4 linked regions of the Tamandua tetradactyla genome follow. The protein of the gene in region 3 purifies or fractionates together with the protein of the main gene of each other region. This does not show direct contact. Links are inferred from orthologs where the notes say so. Each region holds a gene or a part of one and is shown on either strand. Other genes may lie near its edges. The genes, in order: ARCN1, COPE, COPB2 and COPG2.

Region 1 (7,212 bases), on a different chromosome or scaffold from region 3:
AAATTGTTTCCCTTTTTTGCTGTTCTCTAAACAACAATTAAAAGCAGATACGTCAAAAATACAATATCTATGGCAGATGCTATACTGACTATGAAAAGAAAAAAAAAATCTAGACAATAATAATAATACCCCAATCGGAAGGGATTTCAGTTTCTCCCCCATCATATATAAGATTAGCCATATAAGGTCCCAAACTAGCTTTCCAATAAAAAATGACTTCTTGGAAATGAATTTACTGTGCTGATTTACATCTAATGTGACTAAGTTTACTCATTGTCTATTCTTGGTAAGGAAAGAACAACGCTCTACAAACACGCAAAGATTTTACAGATAGGGGTTACTATGACAGACCCAATACCAAGTTTATGCATTAAAATGTAAGTTTATTAAGAAAAAGAGCTGACTATAACTACCTGATAAATGTTAAGAATATTTTCTCATTCATTTGCAGAAAGCTAGAAAAAAGATCAACTTAACAGATGCCATTTTTGGTACTTCATTTTATAATGAAGTCATCATAAGCCATTTGTTGCATTTGTTCATTAATCTTTTGGGACTATGTAGTCTAGGACATTCTGAGTTCACTTCAGTTACTAAAGACAAACGGAACACTTATTTTTCAAAAACAATTTTCATGTACTGACAGCTTTAATTTACTTGGTAATGATTAAAAAGATATTGAGAGATGGATGGATGAGTAGATGGGTGCTAAAACAAGTAGAGTAAAATGTTAATTATAGAATATAGCTATAATATATTCTATATATTACACAGTATGTAGAATATATTAATATATAGAATATAGCTGGTGGCTATATGGGTGTTCTTTCAACTTTTCTATATAGTTGAAAATCTTGACATTGTTGAGGGAAAAAAAAACTAGCATTTGGAAGTGTTTTATGTTCCCTCCCTGCTCTGGATGCATTGCAATCTTCTTTTTCTTCTCTCTTTATCTTTTATTTCCCACATTTATTTATTTTTTACATGGGGGGCACTGGGTCTCCAGCATAGCAGGCAAGAACTCTGCCACTGAACCACCATCGCCCGCCCACCACCTTTATTTTTAAACAACAGAAATTTATTGACTCACAGTTAAACTTTTAGAGGTTTTGATACAACTTTGCAATCAAAGAAGTCTTACATTAATACAAAATTTCACCCTATTTGGACATTTCTACTGTCCAGGGATCTTTTTGTAAAGGGGCTGGGAACCAAAATATTACACAGAAATAGTCCCTGTGTTTTAGGACTCTACAGAGCAAGCTGTCCTGAGATAAGTTGTTCTTCAGAGTTCACAAATCTGTGACTATCTGGATCATGCCAAGTCCATAATAATAATAATAATAATAATAATAAATATATATACACACACATAGACATAATATAACTGAGTGTATATATATATGCCCATATGGCAACATAACACAAGAATTTATACTTTATCATCACTTAATAAGGGCCTTACCATCTCTCTGTTATTGATGAATGAAAAACACTAAGTTCCAACTCGACAAAGTTTTACAGATTATCTGTATTTGGTTTATATAATACAATGCTTTAATTCTGCTGTTAAAATGATATGCTCTAAAATGCACTACAGATACTTACAGTGTGTAAAAAGAAAAGGGGTTTAAAAATCACTGTCCAAATACTGGGGCTCGTAACAGAACCGAAAAGACAAGTTTCTGGAAATGTTATGTCTAACACTAAGTTCTATGAGGCACAACTGCTTGATGCAATTTACATATCTGAAGCTAGAAAAAAACCTTTAAATGGTTTAAATCCCCCCATCCAAATTTACCTCTAAAAGGTTGTCAACCGAACTCAATACATTGGCACCAAATTACATTCTCATCTTTCAAGCATGCAGGAAGACATTTTAAATCAAATCATTAATCTATAAATTCTATTAAAAAGAAAAGAACATCCTTCAAAACAGTGAAAGGCATAAGGTGCCCTAAAAATATACTACCAGCTCCTTTTGAACAGGACAGTTTTTTCCTACTTCATGAACGTTTTACAAATCGGTAGTGATAAAGCAACATTTAGAGAAGTCAGCAGCAATTCCGTGTTTTGGCCTCACCTGCGTTAATTTTTACACAAAGATAACGCATCTGAAGGCAATGTAGAGGTCTCGGTGTATAACCCACCCCTTTTACCCCTCCTCCTAAGACACATCAGATTACGATACGCCAACACACATTTTACCTGACCTGAGCAATAAATTCCTTGAAAGACAAAAACCCTATCTTCTCTTTAACTCCCTCACATCTTCCCAATACAACGTACACTCATTCACACTGACAAATGGATACATGCAAGTACTAGAGTAGTAGTAGATTTCTATAAATCAGCGTTAGAAGTTACTCCTCACCGCTCTATGCCTCCATTTCCTCCTTCCGAACAAACAAAAGAAGTCCTGAACACCATGGATGTGGATTCCGAACAATACAGATCTACCAAACACCGAGAATGCGAGACGAGCTGAATACAAAAGGAAGGGAATTCCTTAAAAAGAAGTCCATTGCTGAACCTAAGTGCTCACAGAACCTGCTGGACACCAGGTCCGAGGTCCGCAGCACGAAATCGGCGACATCCTGGACCAAGTTCTAGTAGAACTAAGACCCCAGCCCCAGCCTTGTCCTAGAAGCCGGGTCCGTCAGAGGAGAGGTTCCGGACGCAGGGCACAGGGAGACCACACGACTCCCCTAGCCCAAAGGGAAAAGCTCGGCTCTAGGCCCTGGGGCGGGGCTCCTGTAGCCCCAGAATCAGGCCGTCCGGCAGGGAGAGGAGGCGACCTAAAGCCCGACCCCGGGACTTCGGGACCGGTTCGGATCTTACCATGGTGAGGCTGGTCGTGAGGGGCACTCGCGCTCTAGCTCCACTGGGGGTAGGGCTGGGGTCAGGGGAAGGGCAGCACCGGCCGCTCGGGACCTGCTGCCCCCCTGACAGGAGCCTATGCCGCTTTGCCTCCTGCCAAGATGGCGGCCCCAAGCCACGTCTCCAACCGGAAACGTCGCGGGTCAAAGGGCAGAGGGCGGGGCGCGGTGGAGTCGCGTGGGGAACTTTAGGGTACCGGGCTGCGTCTCCAATGCTAAGGATATGTGGCCAGGCTTTCCCTAAACGTGTAACCACGGACCTCTGTCTCTTCTCTCTTGATCCTCGTCCTTATTCTTTTTGCGTCATTTCTTACAGCTTATGAAGCTGTCCCACAGCCACTGTATCATGTAATATTCAAAAGAACCCGTGTGCCTAAGGGACTAGTACCCAGAATATATAAAGAACTCTTACAACTCAATAATAAAAAGATAAATAACGTAATTTTTAAATGAGCAAAGGATTTGAATAGATTTGTCTACAGAGAAGATACACAAATGACAACAAGACATGAAAAGATGCTCAACATCCGTAGTTGTTAGGGCAATGAAAATTAAAAACCAGGAGATACCACTTCACCCACTAGGATAGCTAGAATAAAAAAAGGATAATAACAAGTGTTGACAAGGCTGAGGAGAAATTGGAATCTTCATACACTGCTGGTGGTAATACAAAATACTGCAGCAGCTTTGGTAAACAGGTCAGCAATTCTGAAAAAGTTAAACAGATTTACCATATGACTTGGCAATTCCACTCTTAGGAATACACCCAACATAACTGAAAACATATGCCCACTCTAAATGAATGTTTATAGCAGTACTATAATGACCAAAAAGTGGAAACAATCCAAATGCCCATCAACTGATGAACAAAATGTTGTATATCCACAAAATGGGCTATTATTTACTCATAAAAGGGAATGAACATTACCTGCTACAGCATGGATGAACCTTGAACATATTATGCTAAGTGAAAGAAGCCAGGCACAAAAGGTTCCATCTTACATGGTTCCATTCACATAAAATGTCCAGACTAGGCAAATCCATAGAATCAGAAACTGTACTAGTGGTTACCAGGTGCTGGGAGGAGAGAAATAGGGAGTGAGTGCTCACGAGTGTAAGGTTTGTTTTTGGAGTGATGAAAATATTCTGGAATTAGAGAGTGGTGATGGTTGGACAACTTTGTGAACATAGTAAAAAACACTAACTTGCACACTTTAAAGGATGAATTTTATGATTTATGAATTATATCTTTAAAAAAACCTAAGTGCAGGTAGTAGAGCAGTTATTGTGCTTATTATGTCCATTTTGCAAATGAAGAAAATGAACTAAGTTTAAATGACTTACCGAGTTTCCAGTATATAATAGAATCAGGACTCAAAAAAACATCTTTCTGACTCTTGTTAGTTCTTCGACATCAAATGTCAGATTTCACAGAGTATATTTTATACTTAATTCAGTTCTTCATTTTATCCTATATACCCGGCTCAGTCTTACAGTACTCACCCATATTTTTTCAAAAATATTTTTATTGATACAGGGAGCATCAGCCACAAGATTTTCATAATCACATGGTCACACTGTAGAATCTATATAGTTACACAATCATCTTCAAGAACCAAAGCTACTGGAACACAGCTCAACAATATCAGGTACTTCCCTGTAGCCACTCCGATACACCATAAACTAAAAAGGGATATCTATATAATGCATAAGAATGACCTCCAGGATAACCTCTTGACTCTGTTTGAAATCACTATACTCACCCATATTAAACCTATATATGTCTGCAATAAAAGATAGCAATGATGTTTTATTGAGAGCTTATTTTGTGAGAGGCACTTTATTTTTTTAATTTTTTTTAACTTTTATTAATTAAAAAAATTAAACAAAACATTAAGATATCATTCCATTCTACATATACAATCAGTAATTCTTAATATCATCACATAGTTGCATATTCATCATTTCTTAGAACATTTGCATCGATTTAGAAAAAGAAATAAAAAGACAACAGAAAAAGAAATAAAACGATAACAGAGAAAAAAAGATTATACATACCATACCCCTTACCCCTCGCTTTCATTTACCACTAGCATTTCATGTGACAGGCACTTACATATGTTTTCTCTAATCCATTACAACCATCCAGGTAAGTACACTGAGAATAAAAGAAGTTAAGCAACTTGCTCAAACTCACAGTCAGCAAGTGGTAGAGCCAGGATTCAAACCCAGCTTTTCTCATTATCTCTCCTGCGTATACTTTTTTTTATAGAACACTCACTGCGCAGCAGGCATTACTCTAAATTCTCGACTCATTTAAGACTCACAATGATTCTCTTTGATAGGTACCATTATTAGCCCTCATTTTACAGGTGAGGAAATCAAGGTACAGAAAGGAAAATTATTTTACCAAAAGGTCTCCTGGCTAAAATGTAGCAAAGCCAGAATTTCCACAAAGGCTGCCTGACTCTAGAGCCTGTACAGTGCTAGACAATAGACTGCTCAGTCTTACCCATATCAATTCCAACTCAAAGGGCCTTCTAACATAAAAAAAAAAAAAGTAAAAATCCTCTTTGGAATTATTATCTTATTGTGGCAGATCCCAGAGACCTGCAAAATGGACCTCGGGAGCTCAGCAAAGACCAATTGGTGCCAATTCTTTGGAAACATGACATTTGTGAAATTAAAGTGCAGAAGAAAAAGTATCCCTGCCAGCATGCGTCATGAGGCATGGCTTAGAGGCAGTATACCATAATGGTTAAAAGCAGAGAATTAACAGTCAGACTGACCTGTGTTTGATTTCTATTTCAAGCACTTACAAGAAGGGTGACTCCAGGCAAATTAAACTCTCTCAGCCTCAGTTTCCTAATTTGTATACTGGTAATAGTATCTACCTCATAATTTTGTTAAATTAGATAATATATTAATAAATTAGACTATATATTCTAAGTGTTTCTACATAGTAAGTGCTCAACAATATGCAGTCATCATTAGTAGCAATAACAGATTGCATAAACCAAAATATTTTTCAGTTCCAGTATTAACTAGAAGACTCTCAAAACAGGCGTCTCTCATTTTCCTTTTTAAAGCTGCTTTTCTGCTTTCCCATGGGAGGTTTTCTGAGTTAAATTTCCAATATCCTCTTCTTTGTTTCTCTTTCCCTGGATTCCCAAATTAATTATGAGTCTAATTTTGAAATACTTCTTTCTTACGTCTTCATTCACTCCTTCCTTTATTCATCGACCCAACAAGCTTTAAAACGCCTAATTTATGCAATGCTCTGGAGCTATGAATAGTTCAAAATTTAATCAGACACAGACCGTACCTTAAAGTTTACCTAAATTCTGATTAGACTGATCTAGGAGGAATTACACGCCCAGCGACCCTGTCTAGGAAAAAACACGCAGTGTTTTCCAAATTGGAAGGCTGGCTCCTCATCAGACCGCTACGCCACGCACCGCCGCTAGATGCCCCCGCAGACGCATTTTCTAAAACCATAGAGAAACAGGCGACTTAGCTGCCCAGAGAGACTTTATTCGAGCCCTTCTAGGTCCTCCTTCCTGCGCACAAAGAGCCTTCGCTGGAAGGAGCGTGACGCGCGGGTGAGTGAAGGAGTTCTCACGAGAGCGAAAGCAAGTCTCGGGGTGCGTTTTTTTTGCCTAGCGACTGACGACAGGCGGGTCACTGCAAGTGGAAGCTCTTAAGTGGCCAGGTCTAAGATTGGAGTGAGCCCCAGTCCAAGACTGGGGTTCTTTCCATATAGAGGAGACGGATTCGGAGGGGCTACAGGTAATTCCTACTCACTTTAGCAGAAAGGGAACTACCTTCCTCTCTCCCAGAGGAATTCAAGAGGACTGTCCTTTCCCCTAGTCCCCGCTACCTCTCCCTGTCTCCATGACAGCAGTTCCTCACTCTCCCATCAACACCTTGCGTCCTTTACTACCCATTAAACTTAAGTGTGATCCAGCCTGCAAAACGGGTGGAGGATGGGGGTGATGCTTTTGGGATTATTGGATGGGACTGAGAGACTGGAGTTTACCCTCTCTTCACCTAGATATGACTCCAGAGATAGGTTTCTTTCTAAAATCTCTACAGCCTCCCTTGAGAAACCCCAGTAATCTTGGAGGAATTGACCGAACGGTTGCCTTTTGCATATATCTTGTAACTTTGGGTAACTGCTGCAGAAGTTGACTGTGTTTTTCCTGCTCAATTCCGTTTCTTCAGGCAGCCCACTGGCAGTTCCTAAATAAGGGTTGTGACAGTTTAACTTAATTGCTTGGGGCCATGAAGTCTTAAGGAAAGTTTGGCTGAGGGTGAAAGTTTTTAAACTGGG
Region 2 (7,633 bases), on a different chromosome or scaffold from region 3:
GCCCGGTGCCCTGCCCGCCCTCCCGCCCTCCCCCTCCCCCTCCCCCTCACCTGCACGGGCCGTCCGGCCAACTCTGTGGATGTAGATCTTGGGGAGCCCAGGGGTGTTGTGGTTTATGACAACCTGCACTGCGGGAATGTCGAGGCCCCTGCAAGCAGAGGGGGCTCAGATCGTTGGCCAGGTGAAGGGGCTGAGGTTGGGACGCACCCACGCTCACCCAGTGGGAAACTTAAGCCACCGACCCTGCCGTGGCCAGGCTGCCTGTCCTCAGGCCCTCAGGGATGCCACACACTGCCCTGGGGAAGGGGACCCCGGGGCCCTGGCCGCTCACCGGGAGGCCACATCCGTGGCAATCAGGATCTGGTAGATGCTGGACTTGAACTTGGCCAAGGCGGCGAAGCGTTCTTTCTGTGCCAGGTTGGGAAAGCAAGGGGGCTCAGGCCGCATCTCAGCACGGGGACAAGCTGGGTGTGGGTGGGCAGCGGGGAGAAGGGGCAGCAAGGATGGCTAAAAGCATGTTCCCAGCGGAGGGCATGGCCAGGGTGAAGTCCCCGTGGCTGGTGCGGGGCGCAGGGCCCGGCCTCACCTGCTTCATCATTGAGTGCAGGGCCACGGTGGGGAAGCCGAACTTGCGGAGCATCATGCACAGAACCTGGCAGGTCCTGGAGGTGAGGACACACCTGTCAGCCCCTCCCACCCCGTTCCCCCCAGAAGCCAAGCAGGGGGCCCCGCACAGCTCAGGAAGGGGGAGGGTGGCTGGTGCCGGAAGGTCTGCTGTCACCAAACTCTGCCACCCACAAGAAGGAGAGTCGGGAAACAGGCAGTGAGAGAGACCAGTCAGCATCATGTAAGCTGCTGGATCCCGCCGTACCTGACAGCCGCTCTCCAGCCAGCCCTTCACTTTTCTGGTAACTGATATATTTCCTTGGGAAACAGCCAGTTAGAAAGTCTGGCTCCCTGGCATAGGGTGGGGTAGCCAACCTGTCTCGTGCCAGACCAGCCTCTGGTAGGAGCCAATGTGAAGTAGTCTGAGAGGCCCACCAGCTAGGTACGGGCTGGACATCCGTGCATTAGTGACACCCTGGGCCATGGCAGCTTCCCCAGGGGGTTCGGGGCCTCAAGGGCTGCTTGGCAATAGAGCTGCAGAGGGGCTGAGGCATCAGCGGGGCCCAGCCTGCCCTGGGCTGGGTGACCCAGGTTCACGGCCCGACCCTGAGCTTTGCTTTCAGCCAACTGCCTCTATGTGCCCAGACTGTGCCCAGGCTCCCGGGACCTGCTGCCCAGCCCAGGGCTGTGGCCTTGGTGTGGCTGCTGGGGAGAGACCAGGGCGCTGGGGTCCCGAGGCCTGGGCGGGGCAGCCTGCTCACTTGCACGTGCGGGTGAAGATGACGATGGCCCAGTCCTTGTGTGCGTCATGGAAGGTCTGGACCAGGTGGACCAGGTAGGCGTCCTTGACCTTCTCGGGCACCAGCAGGTAGTGCTGCTCCAGCTGCTCCACCGTGCTGACCCTGGCATGGGCAGGGCCGTCGAGCTCAGTTTCTCTCCTGCCCAGCTCGGTCTACGGTTTTGGAACGCCCATGACCCCCCAACCATCCCTCCCACCCCGGGCCCCCGGGACGCACGGGGCCTGGGCCTCCCAGAAGAAGGGCTGGTTGGTGGCCAGGCCTTGCAGCTCCCGGAGCGTGTCGGTCAGCGTGGCGCTGAAAAGCAGCGTCTGCCGCCGGGCTGGCACTGCCCCGAGGATGGCCTCCAGGTCCACGGTGAAGTCGGTGCAGCCCTGCTCCAGCAGCCGGTCGGCCTCGTCCAGCACCTGCCCGGTAGATGGGGGTGAGGCCCATGAGCCAGGGCCGCCTGCCTCCTGGGAGCGCCCTCCTCACGCCAGTCTCAGCTGCGTGCGGCCCCGGCTGCTCGGTCCCCCAGGCTGCCCTCCTCTCAGTTCCTAACACTCTGCTGGGTGATCCATTGTTGCTGGGAGGGGGAGGGGGACGACACGGATCTGAGCCCCCCATGTGAAGGCTGAGCCCGGCCTGGGGCCGACGAGCCAGCTCACCAGGAAGCGGATCTTCTTGATGCTGAAGGTGCTGGAGCTGCGGAGGTGGTCGGCCAGGCGCCCTGGCGTGGCAATGACCACATGTGGCCTCCGGGAGAGCTCCAGGGCCTGGGCCACCATGTCTGTGGGCGGAGGAGGAGCGGGGGCTGGGTGGGGCTCTGAGGACGCTGGGGGTCCCAGGCCCGGAGACCCCCGGCACCCCCTTACCCATGCCACCGACGATGGTGCAGTCTTTCAGGCCCAGCGGCTTCCCCAGAACCCGGAACTGCTCAGCGATCTGGTAGGCCAGTTCCCTGTGGGTGCACAGGCACTGGACTGAGGCCAGCACAGCGCCCGCCCCTGCCGCCCGTCCCCACCCTATTCCAGGCCTCCTCCTGGCCTCCCAACTCATCCACACCAAGTCCCTTTAGCTCCCTCTAACTCCACCCAAACTGGCACCTGCCCCTACCCCAAACTTGCATCTGCTCCATGGTCCCCTTCTCAGTAATGGCCTCGCCAGTCACCCCCGCGCCCAAGCCAGAGAAACCTGAGCACCAGCCTCCTCTGCCCTGCCCAGTCCCCTCCTCCCTGCCCCAAAGTCCCAGCTCTACCCGGACCCCCTCCCTGGCTTGCGTCCTCTTCTCTGCTCACACCTCTCAAACAATTCGAAAGCCTTGGCCTGGCACTCAAGGCCATTCGTGAGCTGCCTCCACCACCTTTTTGTTATCTTTTCCTTACACCCCTGCATAGATACACTCGCGGTTTCTTTGGTCTACACTGCTTCATCCCCACGTGACCCTTTGGCATCCTTCACACAGAGCCTCCCGTGACCCCTCTCCTCAGATCCAATTAAATGCACACCGCCTGGCACTCAGCTTTCACTGCTTGTCACGGGACCTGTCCTTTTTTTTCGTGCCAGTCAATGGCTGGGTCGTACTGAACACTCTTATTTTTCACTGTATGGATCTCTGGACTTCTCTGCTGAGGCTCTGGGCTCGATGCCTGACCCCATTTTGCACATGGGAAAAGTGTGGCACAGAGCAGTGAAGGTATTTGTCCCAGAGAACACAGCGAGTTAATCACACCCAGGGTGTCCGTGGGGGGCTTACCTGGTGGGAGTCAGGACGAGGCAGAAGATGCCGTAGGGGTCCTCAGACAGCTTTTGCAAGATGGGCAGGACAAACGCTGCCGTCTTGCCGCTGCCTGTCTTGGCACAGCCCAGGCAGTCCCGACCTGGGCAGGGGAGGACAAAGCAGCAGCCACATGCTCCACAAACAGTTCCATGCGGCAGTTTAGGACAGCCGGCATTTAATAAGTAGTTACTGCAAACCCTGCTCCAGCCTGTATCCTTTAAGTTCCTGGCACGTGAGCAATCACCATATAAAGGAGAAACCATCACCAGTCCCATTAAATAGAGAGAGATGCTGAGTCTCATGGACTCGCCCAGGACAGAGCTGGTGACTAGAAGGACTGGAGAGAACTCATGTCCACCTGACCCAAGATGCTGTGCTGCTAGCCACCGCCTCATTCTCACTCGTCTGGAGCATCCGGGACTGGGAAATCTGGAATGCCCTCCCCCAACCTGCATCCTACACTCCACAGCGCTTCCTTCACTTTCCTTTTACGCAGGGCCTCAACTTGTTACACCCTAAAATATCCCCCCAAAGGAGCACTAGGCCTACACAAACAACTCTCATTTTTTAACAGGACACTGAGTAGAAAGACTGGGCTGAAAGCAGTAAAAAACTGAAATTCCCAGGACGTCTTAAATGGCAAAACAGAGTTAGGCAAGGAAAGTGGGGAGAAGGACGGTCAGGGGACCACGTGGTCCAGGATCCAGCACCAATTTTGACAGCCTCAGTTTCCTTTTTTGCAAAACAAAGACAGCAGGTCCCGCTCTGCCAAATCCCACAGTACTATTGACAAGTCACTCATCAAACCCGATCTGTGCTTCACATTTAGGAAAGTTCAGAGAGGTTAAGCCACTTGTCTGCAGACACGCAGAGACCGAATCGTGCAGTCTAAACGGTATCGCAGTCCTGGGTGCCTCCGGAGCTCAGGCTGGCCCGGCACGCTAAAGGCTGGTCCTCGCCTCGGGACCGGCCATAGGCAAAGGCTGCGAGAAGGGAAGGGGGGCGGAGAGAGGCGGAGGGTGAGGAGTACTCACCCTCCAGGATGGCGGGGATGCAGCCGAGCTGCACGGGCGTGGGCTGCTTCAAACCCAGCTGCCGACACTGTTCCACGAGCCACGAAGACAGCCCGAGTTGCGCGAAACCTGCCATCCTCGCCGCGAGCATGAACAGTGTGAGCCGCGCTTCCGGCGCGTGCCAATGGCGTCACGAGAACCTATTCGTTCATTGGTTACTCCTCCTTGGTGATCCCGCCCCCTTCAGCTTACTTGACCATTCCCGGCCTCCACCGCCTCTTTACCGCGTGTCCCCGAATGCCAGACCCCAGCTAAACTACAATTCCCGAGATGCCCTGCGAGAGGCCCTTGCGTCTTCCGCCCCCCCTACTTCGGCTTACGAGCCTCCCATTGGCTCAGAGCTCAGCCTCCCGGAACAAGGAAAACTACACTTCCCGGCGTGCTCCGCGGTGGGCGCTTGCTTCCGGCCGACGTGTCCCTCCGGAAGAGAAGCGAGTGAGACTAGGAGATGGCGCCCCCGGCTCCCGGCCCGGCCCCCGGCGGCCCGGGCGAGGTGGACGAGCTTTTTGACGTGAAGAACGCCTTCTACATCGGTAGCTACCAGCAGTGCATCAACGAGGCGCAGCGGGTGAAGGTGCGGCCGGGGCGTGGGTGATCGCGGGCCGCGCTCACTTCTCATAATTTCCCTTCGTCTCCTCGAGGCGGTTTCCCTCCGCTCGCCCCTTCAGAGCGCGCCGGGGCATTTCCGTTGTTCCGTCAGGAAACCCAAGGCGGCACCACTTCCTGTTCCTGAGCGCCCACTCTGCGCCCTGCAGGCGTTTGACTTAGGAGCAATGTGTAGCGCTCTAACGAGGGTCACGGTAAATAACAGTAGTAACAGCGTAACGAACCCTGAGTCCCTTTGCCGAGCGCCCGCTCAGTGCCCGCTGTGCGTTCACCACCTGTGAGGTGGGGATGTCTGTCCTCATTGTACAGTTGACAGCAGCGAGGCTCCGGAAGGAAAGTGGCTTTCCCGAAGCTATCCTGCCCGACTAGTCCGGTTGTTTCTCCCAAAACCCTCTCCTTCACTTGCTTGTTCACGCATTCATTCTTTATTGAGCATTTGTAGGTGTCTTAGTTTCCTTGGACTGCTGTAACAAAGTGCCACAAACTGGATGGCTTAAAACGACAAAGATTTATGAATTTATGAGGTCATAGTTCTGGAGACCAGAAGTCCGCAGTCAAGGTGTGGACAGGGCCGGGCTCTCTCTGAGGTCTGTAGGGGAACCTCTGTTCTGTGCCTGTCCCCTCGCTTCTGGTGGTGGCTTGCCAGCAATCCTTGGCATTCGTCCTCCTCTCTGTGTCAGATCCCCTCTTATGCAAACACCAGTCATGTGTACAGGCTTAGCTTAACTGTCTAATTCACCTATTACAACCTTATTTCTGAGTAAGATCACGTCCCAAGGTGCTCAGGGTTGGGACTTCAATATATCTCTTTGAAGGATGCCATTCAGTTGTGCAAGCATGGCTTGGTCACGGTGGAAGAAGCCAGCCTGGGCCTCTTTATTGTGATCCAAAATGGGGTGAATGAGGGGGAGGACAGAGAATGAGGTGGTTATAGCAGGAGTTTGCAGTTTTTTCTGAAGGCATGAGAGACTGCTGGAGCCCTAAGGCGACAGAGGGCTGAGGAGGAATTTGGACACTTGCCTTGTTTCTGGCACCTGATGGATTCACCTGGTTTCTCTGAGTCGGTGTCCTGGACCTTAGTAAGCTGTTAGGATTTGTGGAAACAACATTTGTGTAGTTGTTGTTCTGTGTTGCTGCTGAAGCAAATTCATACCAACTTAATGGCTTAGAATAGCACAAATGGAATATCTTACAATTTCCGTAGGTGAGACATCTGGCCTGGGTCTCACTGGGCTAAATCAAGGTGTAGACGGGGTATGTTCCTTTTTGGAGACTCTGGGGGAGAATCTGCTTCTAGGCTTGGGATGGTTATGTCAGTGTATCAATTTGGACAGGTTATGGTGCCCAGTTGTTTTGTCAATCAAGCACTGGCCTGATTGCTTCTGGGAGGGTATTTTCTGGATCTGAAGCATTAGACAGTTGATTGCATCTGCAGCTGATTGTGTCTACAATCAACAAAGGAGATTGCTTTCAGCAATGAGAGAAACCTCATCCAATCAGTTGAAGGCCTTGAAGGGAGAACTAACAGGATTTCTGCAGTCAGAAAGAAGAATTTCCACCTCTGCCTCAACCGGCTTCTCCAGGGAGTTCATGGAAATCTTCATTGCGTTCCCAGCTTGTGGCCTGCCCTATGGAACTCAGACTTGCTACCCTACAGCATGTTCCTGTCACGTATCTCTTAATATTTACATTTGTACTTATCCATCCTGTCAGTTCTGCTAGACCTCGGCTGACATGGGCTCGTTCAGGTTGATCCTTGTGGGACTGAGGTGTTTCCTGACTGCCATCAGCTGAGGCCACCCTCCTGCCACTCTCTGGTCCTCCCCCTCCATCTCAGATCCCACGATGATGCGGCAAATCCTTCTATGCTTGGAATCTCCTGACCTTTCCTCCTGCTGAATCCCTTCCGGGTCCCACTGAGCGAATTCCCTGTTGCACGTGTGGTCTGACGGGACCTCCCATGTGAACTGCAGAGCCCCTTCTGTGATGCGTCAGCTGCTTGCCGGTGCCAGGCTCGGGGTGCAGCTCTCTGGGGCCTTCTCTGGCCTCCCATCACCTCCCCTTCTGGGGCCTTCTCTGACCTCCCACCACCTCCCTCTGGGGCCTTCTCTGGCCTCTGGGGCCTTCTCTGAATCCCACCTCCCCGCAGTTTGGACGTGTTGGTTGTGTCTGTGTTCTGGGAGTGAAGCCCCATTGTAGACGTCATTTCCCCAGGACCCGGGCTCGCTGGCCCCTAGCTGTGGAACACAGGCTTCTGGGAGTAAGCATCGCCTGGCTGGTGCCTTGATTTTGGACGTCTCCTGACTCAAAACCGTGAGCCCGTAAATTCCTGCTGTTTAAGCTGGCCCAGTGTGGTGTTTGTTTTAGTAGCTGGGAAACAAGAACACGCCGTGATTGTGTTTGGCTCCCAGCCGGGAGCTTGTATTCCTCTCTGCTCTGCTCTCTCTGGGACGGGCCAAGCCCCTGTACTGCTTTGAGCCTCAGTTTCCCCTTCTGTCAGACGAGGTAATGGCACCTATATCTAGAGTTGTTTTGAGGTTCGGAGTCGCATTCAAGCTCACCTTCCAGGGCCCCCTCTGACATTGAAGTGAACTTGCCGTGCGAATCTTCTCACTTCATAACACGCAAACCTAATCTCAACCCCAAAGTGCAATGTCAGTGGGGCCCGTCCTGTGGGGAAGGGGCTGCAAATGCCCACTTCTCGCTGGTGGCTGCTGGTGGCTGGTCTCTGAGCCGCTGGCCTGCTCCATCATGGGGGGACACTGAAGACAGGTCAGCACAAACTGAGACCT
Region 3 (7,633 bases):
AGTTTACAATCTGGTGAGAAAGGTAAAAAAACTAGATAAATAATGCAACACAAGGCAGAATGTGGAAATGCCAAAAGAGGTAGCAAATGTCACAAATGTTTTAAAAGGGAAGCAAAAGAAAATTCAGATGGTTACATTAGTAAATGTGTCAGACTGAAGGTGACATTTCAATAAGATTTTAGTGACATGTAAGTGTCTGTATGTATAAGAGAGAGATTATAAGTAGCCTGATTATTTGTCTGCTTTTCTGATCAGAATCTAAGCTCTTTGAGGGCAAGATCAGTTTTGCTTTCATTTTACTGGGGATGGAAGTGGGGGTCTCCTAGTCAAAGGACGGCAAAGTCTCCGAGGTCAGAGAAGGCTGAAGGTGGGATGAACAGCTCATTTTGACAAGGGCTTACAGGTACGAGCTTCATTCAATACCTTCTTCCTTCCACCAAACAACCAGTTTTCAAATCGTTTTCATAATTACAACCATCTTGCTCTTCAATCTTACTGTCACTATCCCCAGCAGGGTTCTCATAGCTCCCAAACTGCCCCTTCCCCCAATTTCCATCTCCCAATCATCTAAGCAATCTTTCTCATGTGCCGGAGGACCCTTCCCAAAACACCTGAATCCTCTCTTGCTCAAACTCCCAAAGGTTTCATAGCAATCAAATAAAAATAACACTTCTTTCCTAATACGCAAGGTCCTGGACAATCTATTCCTAATTACCTTTCTAGATTTATCTCCCACCATACTCTTGGATAAATTTTAATCTCTAATCAAATTAAACTACTCAATATTCCTTGGTCCCTGAATATGCTGGGCCATTTCCTTCCTCTACACTTTATTCATTGTATTATTTCCACAAAGCAAATATCTGTCACAAATCATTAGCGATGCAAACGTAGACATCTCCCCAGGTTACAAAGAAAAGCAGCCTACTCTCCGTGAGGAGAGTAGAGGCCAGATGCACTAAGAAAGTCTTACGGCCTTGCTCATATTGTGCGTTCAACTCTAAATGCCTCTCACTGTTTCCATCTTCCAAAAACTGAATACATTCAGACTTAGCTTAAATGGCACTGCCACTAATAAGACCCTTCTGGTGACCTCAGCCAGAAGTATCCCTTCCTTACTTAACTTAAATTCCTACAGCATTTCATTTTGATCATTCATGGTACATTTGCGTACATGTTTCTTCTTGTTTACTACTCCAGACACTCCTTGAGGGCAGGGTCATTATGTAGACATGTCTTTTATCTCCACAGCACCATATATATTTGGTGGGATCTAGAAATCAGGTCTAGAAAATTACTCGGACCAGAAAGAAATTACAGTTTAGTGGGCATGTTTACTTAACCTTTCTCAAGTTTGACAGATGTAAATTAAGGCTATGCTATCATCTATTGCTTAGTGTTATGAGAATTAAATTAAATGTTAAGTACTTAGAACGTGCCTGGCCTGCAGTAAGTACTTAATAAACATTATTTATAATTCTATCTCTCAGTTGTTGTGAGATTAGGAAATATGGGCAAGTGTTTTGCACAGTAAATGCTCTATGGTAATGAACATTTTACATCTTTTACAAAAAAATTTGCAAATGTGTAAAGAATGAAAGAAATGCTCCTTCATTAAGAACATGCATCCTTAACTGTAAAGACTGCAAAAGAAACTACATCAGGCAGATCAAAGCTCCTTTTCTGAAAATGTCCATCATTGCAAGCATGGCAGACCCTAAACCACAGGTCATAGCAGTATGTAGTATCTTTAAGAGATTTGAGACCTCCTTCAGGGACTCTTAAACTGGGGACCCAAATAAGTTCATGGATGAGACTGGCGATGGGTGTCAATATGCTGCTGCCTGTGAGCCCACTGAAATAAATTCTAATGCAAGACTGGGTATGCTCCTTTAGGCACCTTCCTGGAAGTATCCATCACTTTTACCAGTTTCTTCAAGGGATCGATAATCCATACAAAAATGATAAGAATTTCTGCTCTAGTTCCAGCTAGGCTTCAATTAGCTAAACAAACTTAATTTTAGGTTGTTTTTTTAAAATGCAAGATGAAGGATTTGGATTCATTAATTCATAAGTTCTTCACACTCCAAAGTCTTTTGATGTTGTGCTTCAAAATGAGCAAAAAGATAGAAAACATTTAAATATAAATATAAAATCCTCTCTTAAGTTTTTTTTTTTTAAAGGGCATTATTTTCACACTACTGTTTTCCAATTAAAATACATAACGGACGCAGTGTTCCAAATTATTTTCGGTCATTTTCAATGGTGGGATGATAAGAAAAGTGCCGTCATGATTGCCATTCTTACCAGACACTGCTCTGCAAATGCAGAAATGTACACTAACCAATTTTACTCAAGACTCCAATCCTTTGCCCACTAGAAACCTCAGGGCTGGCACCCCAAAGCACTTAAAATTTCACTTTTAACTCCACACACACTTTAATTTTTTTTGCATCTCTCCTTAAGCTCGTAAGTTTGTGGAAGGCACACCTTATCCCAGAACAAACACAATTTGATTAGCGGTCTCCGTTTTAAGGGCATAGTAAGTAACTCTGTCAAAACCTCCTACGGAGTCCAACACCGTCTGCCTCTTAGATTCCACCGGACAGTGGACCCCGCTGACGACCGCGCGGTTCTAGGAAGCTCCGTAAGCACCGAGGGACTCAAGGATCCCTCGCTCGCAGCAGCAAACCACCGCGGCCTCCTGGGCCCCTCCGCCTCCCTCTCCGGGTTCAAGCTGCACCAGGACGTGGCAAGGCCGGAGGCAGCGGCGCGGCTGGAGACCGGGCCACTGCTCACTGCCGTCCCCAGTCCAGGAGCCCCGACACTCGGCCGCAGCCGGCGGGGCCCCGCTCCCACCTGCGGGGACCGGGCCTACCATGGCTCTCTCCGTCCGGCTCCGAGCGCCCTCGCCTGCGAACAGCTACTCCGGCTCGGCCAGACCCACCGACCCTCGTACCGGGAGACTGACTGACGTGGAACTTCCGGGAGGGAATTCTCGCGATAGTCAGAGGCCACGGCCGGGGCGCCTGCGCAGAGCCGTCGTTTCCCAAGCCGCGCCCCCGTTTCCTAGGCAATGCGGCCTTCTACGCGGGGGTGTGGCCTCGGCCCCAGAGGGAGGCGGCCCTGGGGTCCTCAGTGTGGCCAAGTCCTCCTGAATCGGGAGGTGCGGGAGAGAGAAAAACGCAGTGCTCAACCCCTGTCGGACGCTAAGGGCAGGGAAACCCCGCAAGCTGAGAGGCTGAGGAGCCGTGGGGCGGCCCCTGATGCCGTCTGTGAGGAGGAGAAAGGGAGAGGGACACGAGGGCGCTCTGCGCGCCCGGGCCGGACACTGACCCGGCCGGCATCCCGCCGAGCCGAAGAGCCTTCCGCCCTGGAGCTCCCCAGGGGGCAGGGACACGCCGCGCTGGACCCGATGCCCATTTATTGAGCCCTGACGGTTACTTCTTCCACATGTTCTTCTCCGTCTTGCGTTGTGTGCCCGACGAGCTTTCCTCCCAAACCCGAGACCCGAAGAAGTGAAATGCCCCACATAGTAAGAAGTAGAGTCAGGATTCTGAACCCAGGGCTGTAGAAAGGTCCTCCACGTCCCGTGCGGCTTCTCGGACGTCAGAAAGCATCTCCCGGGAAGACAGTTGAACCCGGAACGCGGACCTGGGCCCCCGGCGCTACGGCGTGAAGTGCGGGGCCTCTGCCAACCCCCCTCATCCCCCTCGGCTGGCTTTTCTTTTCTTTTTTTCTCAAACAGTAAAACTCGCCTCCGGCGACATATAAATGTGGTCTTAAAACTCGCTTTACAGTTTTTAAGACTTCCGGATTTTCAAGAAGGGAAAAAAAGTGTGCATATGTGTTTCTGTGTAGAGTGATATTCAGAGATCAGGTTATCTGGCTTCCGACCTTTGCCACTGGTTAGTCGTGTCACTTCTTTCTGGGCCTCTGTTTTCCTCATTAAGGAAAACAAACAAACAGCTTGGATGATTAAGAATTATCCATGGGGTGCACGGGGGTTCAGTGGGAGAATGAATGCCCGCGGTCCATACCGGAGACCCGGTTCGATTCCCGACCATGCACCCCACCCCCCCAAAAAAAAATCCATTTAAAAATTATTCCATTTTTACCATCCTGTGTCTCTGTGACATTCAATAGTAGAAAAAAGAACGGATCCTGTACCTGGTTTTAGGGCAAGCAGTGTGATCCCGTGATGTATAAATTGTGACTAATAATGACATACTTTGCCTACTCCATGGAGCAGTTGATGATCACAAGAGCTCGTTGAAAAATTAACAGATATGAACTGTATCTGATTTGCTTGAATGTTGGAGGCTTTCAATATGTCTGATTCCTGGATACTCTATATTTGAGGACGTATCTTCAAACTGTGTATTACTTAATACAGTAATATAGAATAAAATGATATACCATCTCTGTTGTGTCAGTTTGAATCTGTGGTGGATCCCAGAAAAGCATGTCCTTTAATCCTCATTCAATATTGCTGGGTAGAAGCATTTTGATGGTTCCCACGGAGCTGTGACCCACCCAATTGTAGGTAGTAACTTTTGATTAGATGATTTCCATGGAGGTGTGTCTCCACTCACTGAAGGTGGAGTTGCTTACTGGAATTCTTTAAAAGAGGAAACATTTTGGAGACAGTCCCTTTTGTAGAGCCATAAGAAAACCAGGAGACACTGCAATGTTCGCCATGTGCCCTTCCAGCTGAGAGAGAAACGTTGAACTTCATCAGCCTTCTTGAACCAAGGTATCTTTCCCTGGATGCCTTTGATTGGACATTTCTATAGACTTGTTTTAATTGGGACATTTTCTCAGCCTTAGAACTATACACTAGCAAATTATTAAATTCCTCTTTTTAAAAGGCATTCTGTTTCTGGTATTTTGCATTCTGGCAGCTAGCAGACTAGAACATCTGTTCTCAAGGTTGGGGATTATTAAATCCTTACATATTGTTAGGCATCCAAGGATTAATCTAACTGGCGTAGAGGTAGGGGCTGGGTTGCCAAGTATTATTCTCACTTTGTATCTTTCCTCATTTTTCCCACTGTAATTATCCAATATTAATTCTGCAATTGTAGGCTATAAATTCATTCTTCATTCTTTCACCCCTTACACACTGAATTTTCACTGTATACAAAGCACTATATAATAAGTGCTTAAGATAATATCCAGAAAAATTTGGTTTTGGGGTTTGGTTGAAAGAAATTTCTTTTTAAAGAAATAATATTCTCAAACATAATCTAATACATAAATATATCTCTTTTTGCTCGAGTTTAAAGTAAATTAAATCTTTTGCTTACTCTCTGGTTTAGAGGAGACTGGAAGGTTGGAAAAATAGCTCTGGGAAAGGAAGGAAATATGGACAAGTTTAGCAAATTGTAGAAGTTTAGCAAATTGTTAAAGGGTTTTCCAAGAGGTTGATTGCAATTGATCAACAGACCTCAAAGCCCTACCTTGTCAATCTCTGAGATGGCTGTTTCAACTCTGTGTTTGTGCTGCTGCTGGACGAATTCCAAGTGGAAGTTCAGCCAGCAGTGATTCTTATTGTACTCTGGGATATCCTTCCTTCTTATCCTATTCACACCCCTTTGTAAGAAGTTGAAAAAGTGAAAATAATTCCTTGAGGAAGAATCAATTAGCCTTGCTTAGCCTTGTCACTTAGCAAAGTGTCAAGTAGAAGCATGAAGAACTGACTTTCTCCCCTCCTACGTGTTATAATCTATAAGCAGAAAGGGTCAATTATGTACAAATACTGAATACCAGGCAGAATATGGGTACCCTGAGAGGATGTCCCAATAAATACCGTGGTAGGGGGGATAACAGGTTTCATAAAGGAGGCAGAATTTGAGCTGGATATTGAGGTGAAGAATGTATGGTGTGTTTAAGGACCAGAAAAGGTCCAGTTTGCTTGGAGAATGGCTTTCATTTAGAACAGCAGTGAATGAGATTGGGCTAGAACCTGCAGAGTTTTGAATGATAGGAGGAATTAGATTTTGATGGCTTTGATTCAGTAAGCAATTAGGAACCATTGGGCTAGAAAAGAAACTTGTTCATATCCAGGTTCTAGGAGATTCAGCTTTTGTTGATGTGTATGGTCCCCTGGAAGAAATGGATTGGGACAGTGAGGGACTACAAGTTTTGGGGAGGTAGGTATGGAAATAACAGTAATAATGAGTAACTTTGAGTGTCCACTATGTATCCGACATTGGGATATGCACTTTGCATACTGCAAACCTTTTGATGATCCTAATGATAGGTGTTATTTTATCCAACTTATAGATGAGAAACTGAGGCTCAGATGATTTAAGTAATATGCTCCATGTTACACTGTTTGAGAATGAGGGACAAAATTGAGATGGACTCAAGTCTATTGCCAAAACTAATGCTCTTTTTTTCTAGACCGTGATTTCTTCCTTTTTCCCTGAGAAGCTAGAATCAATAGGATATACAAATGACTTGTTCGTTGTGAGGTAAGGGAGAAGCATCCAAATGCTGATGTTTTGAATCTAATGAAACCAGAGGAATATCCTTTTTTTATTTTTGCATGGGCAGGCACCGGGAATTGAACCTGGGTCTCTGGCATGGCAGGTGAAAATTCTGCCACTGAGCCACCATCACACTGCCCAGGAATATCTTTAATTAGAGAATGGGTGGAAGAAATGGTGCCAGTAAATGACATAAAGAAGGAACGCTCAAAGTGGGAATACCAGGGAAACTCTCTGCCACGGATATACAGGGAAGTCAGAACATAGAGCTATTAGCAGTGTTAATGGCTGTAGAGAACTCAAGGAGGCTTAGCATTTGGAAAAATATTGCCAGTGAATTAAATGATTAGGGCACTGGTAGCCTTCAAAACATTTCAGCTGAGTACTGCTAAGAGAAGCAAGTTTCTAAGAAATTATTGGATGATAAAGAAATGGAAGTGATGAATATGCCTCATTTTTACCGAAAGATTAGTGTTGAAGGGCAAATGCTGATGTTAGCAATGTTGCACTGAAAGTGGATTAATTTGCTGCCTGCCAGAATGCCATATACCAGAAATGGAACAGCTTTTATAATGGGGAATTTAATAAGCTACAAGTTTACATTCTAAGGAAGTGAGAGTATCCAAATTAAGGCACCAACAAGAGGTTACCTTCACTCAAAAAAGGCCGATGGGTCAGGAGCACCTCTGTCAGCTGGGTAGTCACGTGGCTGGCATCTGTTGGTGCCTGGCTCCTGGGCTCCACTGCTTTCAGCCTTTGTTCCTGTGGGGGCTCCTCACTTTGCTTTTAGGGGGCTGGCTTTAATCTCTTGGCTTCCCTTAGCTCTCTCCAGGTTCTGGCTTGCTTCACATCTCATGGCAACATCTCAGCTCCGAGCATCTCCAAATATCTGTGTCTCTGTTCTCTCTGCTGTGAAGTTTCTGTTGGGTCTGAGGCTTCTGTCATTTCTCACTCTCTCCAAAATGTTTCCTCTTTTAAAGGATTCCAGTCTTAATCTAAAGACCCACCTGGAAGGGGTGGAGTCACATCTCCATCTAATCAACGGTCATACCCATAATTGGTGCATCCTATCTTCATGGGGATAATCTACTCAAAAGTTTCCACTTCCAATTTTGGATCAGGATTAAAAGAAACGGCTG
Region 4 (7,595 bases), on a different chromosome or scaffold from region 3:
ATATATTTTATTTAAAAGCATGTGTTTATTTCTCAGTCTGCATTTGTAAACAGCAAACATTTATTAAATCTCTGGATGATGTCTTCAGTCATGATTCAGAGTAAAGATAAAATATTCACAATTCAAACTGGAAACCAGTCTTCTTAGTACAAATGTAAACCACTCAAGGTAAGTGGGTGTGCATGAATCTAAGAAACAAAATCACATTTCTAACTCCCTAGATATGTCATGAGATTTTATTAGCCTTAGGCAAAAAAGAAAAACATAAGAAAAATACAATTAATGACAATAATAGCAAGAAGAATCCAAATTCCATGAGAGCATATTTTGTCTGCTCCATGCTCAGTACCTAGAACAGTGCATAGGACATAGCAGGTATGCAATAAACATTTGCTGAATGACAGAATAAAAATTATTTCTGAATGCTTACTATGTGCTGAACTCTCAGTTCTTACATTTATAATTTCATTTAATCATTACAACTTCATAAAACAGGTATTGGCATGATCCCCATTTACAGAAGAGAAAATAAAAGGACAGTTAAGTTAGTTGCCCAGAATCATACTGCTAGTTAACAATTAAGTAGGAATAGTAAATACAAATCAAAATATTAAAATCAAATCAATGATTAAAATAAAAGCTATGGTCTAATCTACAAAAAAAAGAGTAAAGATATAAGTCTGGAATTTGTCTAAGACTTTGCACTTTATTTTTAGAGGTACATAAGGTACATGTTCTAACATTAACTAATACTTGTTAAATTCAAATCAATAAGCATTTATTGAGAACCTACTATATAGTTAGCTAGCTTAGTAGCTCACGAATACAAAACAAGTATATGTGATAGTCCCTGTCCTCGAGACATTTTACATATTAGTATGTTAATCAAATACTGTACTTTTAAAACTTAAATGAATTTTTAAAAAATAAATAATTATACTTTCCAGAAAGTAGTTCACTGCATGGCACATATTTTTACTCCAAGACACAAATCTGAGGAAAATGAAAATAATTTACCTGGTTGAGTAAGTAAAGAATCTTAGTAAGAATATGCAAACATCTTCTGGGATTGATCGGAGTTTCATTGAATATACGAGCCTATAAAACAAACATAAAAAACCAGCTTTAATAAAAGAGATTATATATAAAATATCACAATGTCCAAATAATGTCAATGGCTTACAGTTTTCAATTTATTATATTTTATTAAAATAAATTATTAGATAAATTATTAGATGTGATCCTCATTTTCCCATTTTATACCTTCTAATTCATTCTCTTAGGTCCACTACTTAATTTTGTGAGCTTTATCTCTTAAATAAGAATCACAAGGTTTATCTACATCATATGGCTACAAAAAGCTTAACACCTATAACTTCCTTTAATAACCTTGCACCAAACATCTCTCCTGACATTTTATTTAAAATTCCCAATGCATAGCAGAGCCTGCATGCCCGTGCATTTCTATAAGCTCTAGACTCTTCTATGGCAAGTAACCCCTCTTCCTTTTCCTTCAAGTCTCTAGTCTCTGAACTCAGTTATATTCCCTAATTCCATCTTATTTTGGATATCCTGATCACAACATCCCAGGGGTTATACGCCCACAATTCTAAGATAGAATATGTAAGAAAGAGCACAATGTAGTTCTAAGCCATACCTCCTGTAAGACAGCACTCTTCTCCAGATGCTGAAAAGGATTGGAGCTACTACCTACATTACAAAGAAAAAAAAAAGCCTTTAACTGTCCTACACAAACTTATTTACATTCAACAGAAGGTTATCTAGTACTTGGGAAATCGCACCTAAGTGAGGTGGCCACTTGGATATGGCAGTGGTCATTATAATATGAATACAAATTGGATAAAATTATTTTGATTCTTGCTTTAAGATATTGGACTTCTCTTTTGCAGCGTCTTCTTTTCCTCCCCTCTTTTTACATGAATGATACAAATATATGTCATCTCCACATAATATTAAGGATATTATAGTAAAGCACTTTGGTCTTCCTAAAGGCAAGCACTATTTTTTGTGCTTATAAAATTTACTGAGAGATAGAAATGAATAATCTAAGAGAGAATCACACAAACTTAAACCCTGGAAGGGATCATGAGGTTTACTGAGCCCTCCATCGTGTTTTGTGAGTGTGGCTATCAAGCACTGCATACTGGTTTTGGGATGACTTGGCATCTTCCCCACTTCCACTGGATCAAAGGCGGGTGGGTGTAAGTCCAAACTCACTTCTGGGAGTCAGAGCATGAAGTGAGCTATGTACCATGGGACTGTCTTGCCCCCTGGGAAGTAGACAGAGAGAATGTCCCAGGGAAGACTATAAGGTATGAAGCGCAACAAACTTCACATACACACTGTCCAGTCAATCCCAAACCCCAAAACGGGGCTCCCACTAACACCAGGAGCACCCACGGCCACTCAAAAGCGCACGCTCACACCTTCAGCCACCTGCCATGGGCCCGCCCCCTCTCCAGGCAACCCACGCCCCCGGAGCAGGGGGGAGGAGGCGCGGAGGGGCTACGCCGCCGACGGTTCGGCGCCCGGGGACAGGGCACCTGGGGCGGGAGGGGCCGCTGCGAACCCCCAAGCGGTGCACGGGTAGCAGCGCACGAGGTTGCGCCCGAGTGCCTGGGTCGCGAGCGCGCGACTCGGCCGCCCAAGGGGAGGCTCTGGGGCCCGGGGGAGGGGCTACTGGCAGGGTCCCCCCGCTGGAGCGTAGGGGAGGGGCTGGGCTCAAACTCCGGCCCCTCTCACACCGGTACCCGCGCCCCGCCCCCAGGTCCGCAGTCCCAAAAAGCAGGTGGCGGGAGGCGGAGAAAGGGGCCCTCCCGCAGGTGAGGGTGGCCGTAAAAAAGGCCAGCGCGTACCAGACTCCTCGTCCTTCTTGTCGAATTTTTTAATCATCTTGGACGACTTCCCAGCGCCCAGACCCACCACCACCGTTCAGGGCGCCGCAGCCGGCGAGCGGAAGAGGCTGCAGGAAGGCCGACCCCGGGCTCTCGAGCCTGTTGGGCTGCTTTCCCGTCACTCCGGTAGAAGGTCCGCCCTCCTACCCCGGCTGTCAGCGGCGGCTCTTCTCCCCGTTCCCCCGCGGCCACGCCCTCTGCTCCTTCCCTACCCGGGCGGAGGCGGTGCGAGGCGCTGGCGTTGCCGCCAGAGCCTGAGAGGTCGGAACGAGGTGCTTGCCAGCCCACTTTTACGCCCGGAGCAGGCAGGAATGTGATTTTATTTGATTGGCATGTACTCGATAGCAGACTTTGCCGGCCCCCTCAGTCTCCGGAGTGGGAGGTGGGAGGCTTGAAGAGTTTTTCACTTAACCACAGTGGCTGTTTTTATAATCCACTGCTGGACCCTTCCATTGAGGAAGGTGCTGTTTCCTGGCACAGTTCTAGTGGGCTTCTCTCCCAGGAGCGATGAAAGGGTTAGTGGTTCCCAAATCACCTTGGAAGTCGGTATTTCACTCACTGGCTTGGAAACTGCAATAAAGCACATGGCACCGTTAGGTGAAGGTGTGCTTCCGGAGGGTCTAGAGGGAATGTGAAGCGTGAAGAGACTTGGAAGGGCCAGAAAGCTGGTTTTTACTCTAAGCGAGCGGTAGATTTTGGACCTTTCCCAGTCTTTGTGAGTTTGGATTCCTAGCCCTCATCAAAACCTGATTTAAACATACTGCCAGTTTAGACTTCTTCTATTCCTCCCCTTTCAAATTATTCCATCTTCAACCATATTGCCGCGTAACTCTTAATTGGTTAACTTGCATTCACCTGTATATTCATGATCCACTGAGAATTTTACTAAAGTGTATGTTGGTTTCCAGTTCTTTGAGAGTGTAACTAAGAAACTTTTCCTGTCTTTAACTTCAATGGCATGACTTTTTATCCAGATTCTCTTTCAATTTTTGTGGATTCTTAGGAAGCTTTCACTGTGAGATTTTCTTTCTCCAGTCCCTCTCCACTTTTGTATGCATTATCTTTTTTTTTTTTTCACATGGTCAGGCACTGGGAAACGAATCCAGGTCTATGGCATGGCAGGCGAGAACTCAGGCGAGAACTCTGTCAGTAAGCCACCATAGCCTGCCCTGCATTATCTTTTAAATATCCCTTGAATCTGTTCCTTATCTCTACCACTATCATTATCACCTTAGTACAGATCCTCATCATCTATCTCTTGGACAACGTCCTCTCCAGCCTTTCTGGCCCCATCTAAACCATTCTCTATGTGTTCTTTAGTTGCATGCCTGGTAAACATGGAACATTATTAGGGGCAGGGATATGCTAGCAATCTCCTTTTCTAGAAGTAGAGACATTGGTCTCCACAAAGATTGTTTAGGAAAAGCACTATAATGGGTCCTTTAGGTATATGAGTGGAACAAGTATCCATTCATTTTTTCTTTAGGGTAACTGTAAAATTGCTATAAATCTAGTAGATGCTGCAGATTGAAATATTAAGTGTTCTATTTAGAATGTAAATTGGGTATGTCCGTAATAAGATTGTGTGCTTGCAAAAGTACATTCTTTCTCCCAAATATGGATTTAAGCTGAACTATTGATATCCTACATATAGTATCATCTAAGATTTAACTCATATTTTACCAAATGTGCTATCAACTAATATGTTTTTTCTTATCTAGCTTATGAAATCCAGATCATATTTTCCATGTAGAGTTTCCCTTGAAGGAAGTAGATATTCCCACTGTCATTTATTCTGGGGCTGAAAATAAAGAAACTATGGAGAAAGAGAGAATCTCTTTCTCTTTCTTGGGCAAAGGGTCTCAGGGACCTAGGCAGAGAGCGTCCACAAGCCAGGAGATTCCCAAGAACAAATAATATGCTGAAAGCATACTGGGAAATATTAAGGAACTGAGGTTAGGTTTGAGACCAAGCATAACGGTTGCCCCTTTAAGTGCAAGATAAATCGCTCACTACTGTTCTGTAACTTTCCCCTATACCCATGAAGTTTTGTGTAACAGAACAGCTTGGTTTTAGCTGTATAGGGGAGTTAAAAGAGGCAATGGGTGGGGTTGGAGTGCAGTGACAGATAGGCTCAGGAGGAGCAGAGAAACCTGAAGAAGCCAGTTAAGCAATGGTATGCTATGACTCAGACCTCTAGAACAGTGCTATTTAGCCTGAGAATAGCAGGAAAAGGTGTTAGGCAATCACTAGGATGGTTCTGAGGAACAAGTATACTTTAGGGAGTCTCAGAAATTACTTGAGAGACCCAGTAGGAGAAAATGAACCTTATTTTGAAGCCATAAGTTGATGAAGTTTAGGGACCCATCGGTTATACTTCTAATAAATGTGTATTCAGTACTCGGAAATCCTTCAGTGGGTTTCAATCGCCTACTGGATAAAACTCAAGCCTTTACTTATGTAATATACAAGGCCCTTCATCATCTGGTTTATCTGTCTCACGTATTGAAAATGCAATTATTGGTGCTTGGCAAGTATCCAACACCTAGTAGCTACCACCACCACCACCACCACCACCATTAACATTAATTTAATAATAATATGTGAGGAGCATTCTCTTTTCACCCTTTCTCACACAACCTTATTCCAAACCCTTTCTACCCTATGCCTTCATGCTACCTGGAAAAGACTGTGGCTCTCCAAGACTCGTACACTTATCCTTTGACCCTTCTAGTTCAGTTTCCCCCAAAGTGTAATATGCGTGGATGGTTTTAGGTGATACCTAGATAAACATTTTAAGGTATTATGAATTTGATTTAATGTGTGTCAAGAAAATTATATAATTAGTATATCAAATCTGTGATGTCAAAGATATGGTTTTGCTTAGGAAAAGAATCAAGAAAAAAAATCCTCTTAAAAAAATACTAATAATGGGACACATAATGCATTGATAAGGCAAAGCAAGCCTATCAAAATGATACATAATGTGGTTTGGTAAACACTTAAGTTCTTGAAACTTAAGAATATAAACAGAGTCCAAAGCCTAGCACCACTTGAGCCTCCATCAGGTCCTTGCTACAAGGGAAAACTAGTCTTCAGTATCACCATGCGATGATTTTTCTACATCTCCAGTCCCCATAGGTTCTACCTCCAGCCCACATCTCAAGTCAGAAAGCCATGCTTTACAAGAGAGGAACTTACCGTCTTTCCTCATATCCCTTTTAGAGACTGGAGCAAAGGTGAGCTGAGGGTACATATTTTTCTGTTTCCTCAAAGCATAGACCTTTGAATACTTCCCTTCACTCTTGAAATCATTGTCAGTGGAAAACCTTAACAAAGAAAGTTTGTTTAGTAGATCCTAGGGCAAGTTAATGGAACTAGTCACTTGAAAGTCAGCCACATTTTAAAAAATTCTGTGAGATAAGAAGGGACAATGACTAGAAGGTATTGATTGGAAGAGAGTTGGAGTATTGTTCAGTGGCAAGAGACGCTTCTGGAACCTAGCACTGTAAACCTTTGGATAAACTCTAGAACCTCCTCCCTTTTCTCCAAACTAAGTATAGTCTGCTCTGGTTTGCATTACTCTCTTTTATCAGAACATAAATGAGGTTGAGGCTCATGTAGGAAGCGATGTCTTATTGTTACACAGTCATACATATTCCCTACTTTCAAAAAGTGTTGAATGTACTGAAGAGAGTAACACAAATGAGGAAAAGATAGGAAAGAAAATGAGTACAAGAAGAACCAGGGTTTCACCTAAACCACTGTTCTCGCTTGGATGCAGAATTGTCCAACAGTGTCACCGGGAAGGTTGGTTTCAGCTCAGGTCTTGACTTTTTCTTTTGAGGCATCAGGGGCAGACAGAAGTTTTCAATGGGTTTGTGCTGATAATGACTTTCCTGCAGCAGAGGGAAGAACTGCAAGTGAGGGAGTTCCTGGACAAAGTTCCAATTCCCCTAAAATGATGCAGTAAAACCTGTCAGATAGTGAAGTGGAAACTCAGAAACTCATACGAGAAAAAGCCTCTTCTTGAGTGGCATAGTCCTGTCGGTTTCATTGTTAAATAACTTGTCCAAAGCGTGGCCAGTTTTCTAAGTAACTGACTGAACTTGCCCACTGGCCCTTTGTAGTGAATGGTATAGGAAGTTACCCTGTTTTTGAGGATTCAATTAATGAAAAATCAAATATTTGGTAATTAATTGGGCAATAGATCCATGGGGCTGTACATTCATTTCTCAGAATCAGCTGCCTCGTCACCATGCCACTCTCTGCCTGCAGTGAAAAGGCCATGGAATGGGATGTTTTTGTTTTGTTTTGCTATTTTATTAGAGAAGCTGTGGTTTTACAGAAAAATCATGCACAAAATACAGTGTTCCCATATACTACCCTATTATTAACATCTTGTATTGGTATGGTACATTTGTTTCAATTGATGAAAGCACATTTTTATAATTGTACTATTAACTATAGTCCATGGTTTAACTTAAGGTTCATTGTTTATGTTGTGACATCCCATGGACTTTTTTTTCAAAAAAATTATTCTAGTAACATATATACAACCCCAATTTTTCTCTTTTAACCACATTCAAATATACAATTCAGTGCTGTTAATTACATTCACATTGTTGATCTACCATCACCACCATCTATTACCAAAACTTTTCCATTACCCTGAATAGA

The links.
Region 1: the proteins of COPB2 (region 3) and ARCN1 fractionate together in Homo sapiens (co-fractionation; 5 studies listed by BioGRID and IntAct, with this or other methods). This does not show direct contact. The link is inferred for Tamandua tetradactyla from reciprocal best matches to the Homo sapiens genes COPB2 and ARCN1.
Region 2: the proteins of COPB2 (region 3) and COPE purify together in Homo sapiens (affinity purification with mass spectrometry; 4 studies listed by BioGRID and IntAct, with this or other methods). This does not show direct contact. The link is inferred for Tamandua tetradactyla from reciprocal best matches to the Homo sapiens genes COPB2 and COPE.
Region 4: the proteins of COPB2 (region 3) and COPG2 fractionate together in Homo sapiens (co-fractionation; 4 studies listed by BioGRID and IntAct, with this or other methods). This does not show direct contact. The link is inferred for Tamandua tetradactyla from reciprocal best matches to the Homo sapiens genes COPB2 and COPG2.

Annotation. Positions count from the first base shown.
Region 1 is NC_135334.1:22,115,476-22,122,687, forward strand, and holds the start of ARCN1 (coatomer subunit delta), read right to left. Parts: upstream 3,003-7,212; 5' UTR 2,845-3,002; coding exon 2,842-2,844; intron 2,485-2,841; exon of another isoform or gene 2,375-2,484; intron 1-2,374. UniProt on the Homo sapiens protein: Component of the coatomer, a cytosolic protein complex that binds to dilysine motifs and reversibly associates with Golgi non-clathrin-coated vesicles, which further mediate biosynthetic protein transport from the ER, via the Golgi up to the trans Golgi network.
Region 2 is NC_135337.1:95,906,330-95,913,962, forward strand, and holds the start of COPE (coatomer subunit epsilon), read left to right. Parts: upstream 1-4,622; 5' UTR 4,623-4,683; coding exon 4,684-4,809; exon of another isoform or gene 4,810-4,925; intron 4,926-7,633. Other genes in the region: putative ATP-dependent RNA helicase DDX49, read right to left, coding at 51-148, 332-408, 587-662, 1,368-1,508, 1,623-1,810, 2,051-2,172, 2,258-2,343, 3,139-3,262 and 1 more. UniProt on the Homo sapiens protein: The coatomer is a cytosolic protein complex that binds to dilysine motifs and reversibly associates with Golgi non-clathrin-coated vesicles, which further mediate biosynthetic protein transport from the ER, via the Golgi up to the trans Golgi network.
Region 3 is NC_135341.1:83,463,106-83,470,738, forward strand, and holds the start of COPB2 (coatomer subunit beta'), read right to left. Parts: upstream 3,013-7,633; 5' UTR 2,882-3,012; coding exon 2,879-2,881; intron 1-2,878. UniProt on the Homo sapiens protein: The coatomer is a cytosolic protein complex that binds to dilysine motifs and reversibly associates with Golgi non-clathrin-coated vesicles, which further mediate biosynthetic protein transport from the ER, via the Golgi up to the trans Golgi network.
Region 4 is NC_135327.1:172,420,648-172,428,242, forward strand, and holds the start of COPG2 (coatomer subunit gamma-2), read right to left. Parts: upstream 3,005-7,595; 5' UTR 2,914-3,004; coding exon 2,877-2,913; intron 1,711-2,876; coding exon 1,658-1,710; intron 1,099-1,657; coding exon 1,018-1,098; intron 1-1,017. Other genes in the region: TSGA13 (testis-specific gene 13 protein), read right to left, coding at 3,319-3,485, 6,117-6,244, 6,672-6,871. UniProt on the Homo sapiens protein: The coatomer is a cytosolic protein complex that binds to dilysine motifs and reversibly associates with Golgi non-clathrin-coated vesicles, which further mediate biosynthetic protein transport from the ER, via the Golgi up to the trans Golgi network.